Linked DNA regions of Drosophila melanogaster. The protein of the gene in region 2 interacts with the protein of the main gene of each other region in a pairwise test. Each region holds a gene or a part of one and is shown on either strand. Other genes may lie near its edges. The genes, in order: hale and Cpr72Ea.

Region 1 (3,772 bases), 3.6 Mb from region 2:
GGACTTTAGTGACTTTTCCTTGGATGGGTAGAAGCTGCTGCGTCGCTGGCTTGGTTTCAAGGGGCAGCAGACACTTTGGGCTTGTTGCTGCTGCTGCTGTGATTGGAACACCTGTTGGTTGTTGAAGGGTCCCAGGCAGTGGCAACAAGGATGGGGGTGCGTCCTGCACTGGGAACACTGGTTGCACAAGGATTGGCACGAGCAACAGGGATAAAATCCTCCAGAAATCGGAATATTCGGCTGCTGCTGCAGCGCACAAGTGGAGGTTCCGAGAACTGGGTGCATCATGTGCTGGCTGATCTGACCACCTAATCCCATAGAAGGATGTGATTCCATGCTCGACAAAGGACAGCAGGATGTACCACCGTTGTAGCAGCCGTTTGCAAAACTCTCCGGCTTCAACATGCAGCAGTTGCTTCCGTTGGCTGGACATTGATACTGATTGCCCATCTGCATTGGGCAGACTTGACTCGTCCTCGACGGACAGCAATTGCTGCACGTGCAGCAGGAGCAGCTGGACATGCTGCTCGGCGTGGCGCACAGGAACTGCTGGCCAGGATACATGACAGGACAACCCGATGTTGCCGTCCCCGGCTGATTCATGTGCATAAAACTGATGGTCACATATGGCGAGTTGTTGGTCGGTTGAACTCGCACGTTCGGGTGTTGCTGCAGCGTCAAATGCTGCTGCATATGTTGCTGCTGCTGCTGCAGCACATTCTGCTGCATGTTCTGATGTTGCAGCAAGGACATTTGCTGTTGATGCTGCTCATTCAGCGACGGTTGTCGCTGTTGTTGCTGTTGCTCCCGATTTAATTTTAAAAGTTTTTGTCGGACCTGGGCTGCAGTTTGAAGGGATAACTTCCGAGCGGCTTGTACAGTGTTACCTGGGGAATAAAGAGGGAGGAAGGAACATAAATATAGAAGCAATCTAAAATGAATAATATAACCTTTCTGGTTGCTATTGCTGGTGGTTGGATACTGCGGAAAGGCTTTGTCCGTCTGGGATCCTGCATTAGAAATGGCGTAGGAACGCGAGGTCTGCTGCGTCTGACACTTGCCGGTTTGGTCTTCCTTCGACTGTTCTATGTCCTGTTGAATCCGATTCCTAGCCAAAGCATCCTCGAGAACCACGAACGAAGGTCTATTCGCCAGATCCTTGTTGCAGATCTTAACGAAAGGCGGCAAAGTTTCGGTTTTCTTGATCTCCTCTATGGACTTGTCATTCTTGCTCTTCTCCAGCTTTTCAGTTGAGTCATCATCGATGTCATTTGAATTCCCTTTGAGCACAGCTATGCACTCTTTCTTGGTTTCCTTAGTGCCATTCGTCAGTGGGGAGTTACTACTGTCTGCTCCGCTTTGGGGATTCTTGCATTCCTGATTAAGTGAGCTAATTTCGATGAGACCATCAGTGCCCACGGTAATCATGAAACAGCATTTGGCCACCGTTTCGTCATTTGATTTGGCCAATTGCCCTGATGATTCATTCTCGCCTGGGGCCTCCATTTTCCTGAATTTTGATGTGTTTTCCGGGTGTTGTGAGTTGATGTTTCCTAACGCATATCAAAAAGTATATCAGGCGACAAATGTACTGTCAACTTTGAAATGCTCATCGAAACTGGATTTCCCTTACTGTGTAAGTAGTGACCAAAACGTTCTTGGTGTTTAAGATTTTAGAACCATATTAATATTAATAAGATAAAATTATTTAAAAACTTGAAACAGTATTTATTTCTTAAAATAATTCAAATTATATACTAGAGAAGCAAGTCTGGTATCAATCAGTATGTCTCAGCTTTATGATGTCAAACATTTCTACACCTTTTGTGCTTTAACATGTACACAAAATTGTCATATCCGTGAGTTGGCCTCTCCGGGTGGTGAAGAGTTGAAGATGTTCTGCACGGAGAGCTGTGAGCACGGATGCAATGCAACCTCGTCGGGCAAGCTGATCGCCAATGGAAACGGTGGCGGCCTGCAGTCGCAGGGAAATTCACAGCATCAGTTCACCATGTCCTACGCTCCACTGTCGACCAACGATGTGCCCTCCAAGTCCGAGGTGGAACCACCGCGACTGGGCATGTGCCTGGTCACCGAGTGTCCAGAGGGTCTGAGGTAATTTATACATGAATTTCCATGAAAAGTGATTCGATTTCTACTCCCTTCCTCTCCAGCATTGACTGCAATGTGCCACTGCCGAATTCTTTCAATTTGGATGAATACAAAAATCACATGATCTGCTCGAGCTGTACCCAGTTCAATGGTGGCTTGGACAGATTTGGCCAGCCAGGTACAGCCGGTCCAAGTGCCAGTCCTAGTGCCAATCCATATCCAACTCCGATGCCCAATCCCATCCAGGCCTCTCCTTGCAGCTTTCATGGCCAGTGTTGTTCAGCCGGTGGACCATGCGCTGGATATGATTCGCAGCCAAATCCATCAAGATGCTATCGACAGGAATCATCGTTGGCTCAAGGAGCCCCAGCGATGCCGCAGATCTTTTGCCTGGCACCACCCAGTTCCCATGGTGGCTTAAATCAGCCCGTTTACTTGTGCAGCCTGATTCCAGTTCCGCCATCGTGGAACCTGGTGCCGCTGGCCCAACCGCAGCACTTGACGCATCAGCAGCTGCTGACGAATCCCGCACAGGACTCGCAGCTGCCGTTGCAGCAATTGGTGCAGTACGACCTGTCCTTCAATCGCCTGCTGGCCGAATTGCGCAAGGAACGGGAGAGGTCCTGTTGTGACCTGCAGATCCCCCAGCCTCTGGCTTTCCAGCTGTATGCGCCCACGGTTAGGTTTCTAGATCAGCCAGATTCCAGTTCGGCGAAGAGAGAGCCTCATTGCCCGCCGGCAGCTCCTTGTGCTCCTCCAGCTGCACCACCACAACCACCATCCTCGTCATCATCCCCAACAGCCACATCTGCCTCCGCCGCCGGGCTGCCAAGAGCTCGTTCGGCCAGCCCGAAGCGCAGTCGTTCGTGTCTCCGGAACAAGGATCTCTGGGACAGTGGCGGATCCGTACCAGGTCCATCCCCCTGCTCCTCGCCCACCCAACATGCGACCGGAAATGTGTGCATGAAGTGCGGAAACTGCTGGCATTGTCCGCGCTGCAACTGCTCCAACTGCTTCTGGCATCCCGGCTTGGTGCGAGCTCCTCCAAGAGATGGTCGCTAGGGAAGGGGACTAAGAGCCACTCCTACACTGTAAAAGAAGAAAGTGTAATAAAATTCCAAGACTTTTAAGCAAGCAGCTTGCCACTATTTCTTAATTGAATTCAATAATAAGAATATTTATTCTTGCAATATGAAGAGAGAGTCACTTTTAAGGTTTTTTTTTCGTTTATTAGTTTGTAATATTTAAACCCTATTTATAAATATTTTATGATACATAAAAAATGAATTCTTTCACAATTTCTACAGCAGCTAGGACTTATATCACAAGTAATGTTCGTTAAACAATGAACTGTAATTAAAAGTAATTATCGATCAGCCTGCATGTTCATAAAGCTAGCCACGTAGTTGGACATGACCGAGTTTATTCCGAAATGGTCGTTTCTGGGCTCAAGGGGTTGGGATTGCAAATTCCGGTGGCCGGGCAAGATCAGCGAAGCTGGCGGCAAGGGAGTTCTTATTTGGCAAGGATACGGATCCGTTCCCAGCTCAGAAATCCTTGTGCGACAACGCCTCACTTTCCGGGCAGAGGGACTAACTTGGGTGCAGGTCCTGCTGCTGGATTGGCAATACGGAGGTGGCGGAAGGAGAAATCTTTGCTG
Region 2 (3,599 bases):
ATTTGTTTCTCTCAGTGTGAGCTGCAAATCATCCGGATAGGGGTCAAGGAACCGGGTGGGGCTATAGGACACGCCGGCTACCAATTCCAGTTTTAGTTATTTAGGTTGTTGCCTTTGCCGTTGTTTATGCTGCTATTAAATTTAATTGAAATCAAAATTCGGCCCACATTTATGAAGAGTTTATGCTGCACATATGTGGAATGTGATCGGTGGGTCGGGGGGCCAAAAGGTTGAGGTAGGACAGGGTCCGAGTGAACGTGTTCCGTGAGTCCAGGAGTTGGGCAGCTAAAGGGTTCAGTTCAGCCGGATCTTGAACTTTAGGTGTCGCGAGTTTAGTTATGATTATATTCAAATAAAGATACAAATGTTAAAACTAGAAATTATAAAGAAATTTGTTGATTGAAGAATAATTTTAGAAAGAATACTTAGAAAGAATATATTTCGAACAAATATTGTGTTACCAAAATGAATTTGCTAAAAATTTCTTTATATTATCCCATTACCACTTCAAAAGAAACGTTGCAGACTGATTGACAATTTTTTAATTTAAATTCGAAATTCTTAAATAATGAACCAAATCGTGCGAATTCAGCTGCCATTCAATAGTAAAATCCGGGGGTGTAGTACCTGGGAATGGTGTAGCCGTAGACCGGAGCAGGAACCACGACATGGTGGCTGCGAGCCACAGCAACTGGAATCTTGGCCAGCACCTGGTTGCGCACGCCTTCATCGTGGACGCGTTGAAGATGAAGCGACTTGGCCGCAGCCACTTCTGCGGTATCAGAAACGGGATGAGGCAATTGGGAGTGGCCACCATGGGATCCGGATGGGTCTGAGCCAGAAACCGGGTGCTCGTGGTGTTCGATAGAATGGGGCACCTCTGGATGAGCACTTCGACCGCTCTCAACGACAGTGTGATGATGAGGAACCTCAACGGGATGGTTGCCAACAGGATGCTGAGCTACAGCAACGGGGTGCTCATGGTGCTCGACGGGATGATGTCCATCTGGATGAGCACTTCGGCCGGTTTCGACAACAGTGTGATGATGTGGAACTTCCACGGGATGATGGCCAACAGGATGCTGAGCTACAGCAACGCGGTGCTCGTGGTGCTCGACGGGATGATGTCCATCTGGATGAGCACTTCGTCCGCTTTCAACAACAGTGTGATGATGTGGAACTTCAATGGGATGGTGGCCAACAGGATGCTGAACTACAGCATGCGACACCTCCGCGTGATGCTCAACATGGTGGTCTACTGGATGCGACGCGCTCCTGGGACTAAATTCTAGCGACTCCTGGGGAACTTTAGCCTTTGGCAGATTAGTGGCTGCCACATGGAAACCTTTGTTGTCGGCCACATAGTTAACCGTTTGCAGCTTTCCCGCCGCATCCCGGTAACTATAGTATCCTTGGGTGATTCCGTCTAGGGTGCGGGTCTCCTGTTTGCTGGACAATGGTTCCGAATAGCCATAGGAGTACTGACCCAACTCATCCTTGGCGATATACTGGCGCTGGGTGGGCGTGAACACGGCGGATCCCTCGGCAGTGTACGCATAGGGATAGTACAAGGCCAGTCCGTGGGCCAAGCTGAGGCTTCCTAACAGCAGAAGTGGATACTTCATGGTTGGGCAGTGGAAGATTGCTTCGAGTGAGTCTTGTTCGTCAGTTCACTGGTAACTGTTGATTCTGAGCCTAGGTCTTCATCCTTTTATACCCAGCAGGTTCTTTCGCGAGTTCTAGGTTCTGGTTCTGGCTGAGGTTCCTGCCGGTCAGATGCTTCTATTCTGATACACTGCGAAAAAATTCTAAAAGTATGCCATATTATTATCTAAGAGAGTATACAAATGTTTTATGCTCTTTTACCCTAATATAGTAACGTGATTTTTATGACTTAAATTAAATCCAAAAATAAGTAGTTCGTAATTTGTTTAATAATGATTTGTACAAAGCTTAAAACATAAATTTAAATGCATATAAATAATAATATTGCTAAAAAAGACTGTTCTTAAATTCCTGAAATTTTAATTTTATGATTATGACAATCATTAAAAAAATATTTTATTATTGATAAAAAAGGTGGTTTATTGTACTTAAATAGAATTCATCAAATTTGTACAAGCACACGTATTTCATTAAAGAATAACCTAATAGTAATAATATCTGTCACATTTTAAAATAGTAAACAGCCAATTAATTTTTTCTCCAAATGTATCCATCAGATGCACTTCAATGCAAACGAGGAGATGCGAATGCGTCGTCGTGTCCACTTGTGTCGTTAACGGACATTGCAGCTCCGCCTTTCACTCCCCTTTTGGGGATCGACGCCTCGTGAAGGCGTTGTCAATTTGGTTTAATTGTGGCCAAGGCTGGAGTGGGCCCAAATGAGGGAGGCAGACCCTGGTTCTCCGCAGCGGGAGGAGCAATCGCTGCCTGGCATCTCCATCTGCATCTGCATCTGGATCTGCAAGCGAGCCAAGGGCCTTGGCTGGGTGGACCATCAAGGCCAAAGACCGCATCCAGACCAGCGTGTAATTGATATGCAATCGTTGTTGCTGCCACAGCATTGTGGCATCTCAGCCTCCTTTTTGTTCGCACACTGCAACGGGGCCACGACAACAACAGCAACTTCAACTGCAACAGCAAATGCAACAACTGTGGCAACAACCGACGACGACAACAACGGCATCTCAAGGTGAGTGAAGGCCAAGGGCCACATTTGGCCACAGCTTGGACACGGGAGTCATGCACTCCAGTGGCGAACAAAATGGGGGTCTTAGGGGGGTCATAAGTACCCTTAAAAATTATAATACTTGGTTAGATACATATGTATGTACATAAGAAATATATGTTTTATGCGAAGAGCTTACAAATATGACACAGAAAAGGGTTAATTAAATCGTTAAGTCCGCTAAATAAATAATATAATGTGAATTTTTAGACACCTTATAGTATACACTGAAGATATATACTTATTTCAACCGGACACTAAGAAAACCCCCTAAGAATATGTTTCCCATCCGCCTCTGATGCACTGCAGCTGCATTGGTATCTCCTGTTCCTCCTTCGCTGGTCATTTTTATTTTTAGCAGCGGGCTTATCGGATGCCTCAGATCTCTGGTGCTTAAACTTCGCTCCCGATTAGGAGGAGGAGGAGGAGCAACTGCAAGAACCACATTGGATTGGCCTTGACGGCTCGGCTGATAAGTGCGTTTTAATGTTAGCCCCGTTGGCACTCAGTTTCAATCAAAGCCCAATTCTCTACAACCATTCCAGCCTGGCTTAATGAGCTGGTTAGTTCTGGCCTGGAATTGAAGTTGGATTGGCAATATAGTCCGGTCCACTTGGTTCACTCCCTTTGTTCTGTCTCGAGTGGACTGTGCCCTGATTTGTGTACCACCATTGGTTCTTTGAACTGCCTTCGTGGCTAATTAAAGGTGCACTTAAGATAGGCCAGGTGGCAAGAATCATGTTTTTCATTTTTCAGGACTGGGAGTACTTTGATTTTATGTCCTAGAAAAAAAGAGCAAACGAATCAGTCTAAAAGGTATTTCAGCTGTAAAACATTCCATAAATATAGGAAATTTAACTCTTTCTAA

What was found.
Region 1: the proteins of Cpr72Ea (region 2) and hale interact in a two-hybrid assay, tested with the Drosophila melanogaster proteins (2 studies listed by BioGRID).

What each region holds. Positions count from the first base shown.
Region 1 is NT_037436.4:19,983,898-19,987,669, reverse strand, and holds hale (hale-bopp), read left to right. Parts: upstream 1-1,801; 5' UTR 1,802-1,894; coding exon 1,895-2,115; intron 2,116-2,174; coding exon 2,175-3,174; 3' UTR 3,175-3,244; downstream 3,245-3,772. Other genes in the region: schuy (schumacher-levy), read right to left, coding at 1-887, 951-1,506; CG17732 (uncharacterized protein), read right to left, coding at 3,479-3,772.
Region 2 is NT_037436.4:16,360,676-16,364,274, reverse strand, and holds Cpr72Ea (cuticular protein 72Ea), read right to left. Parts: upstream 1,673-3,599; 5' UTR 1,626-1,672; coding exon 600-1,625; 3' UTR 525-599; downstream 1-524.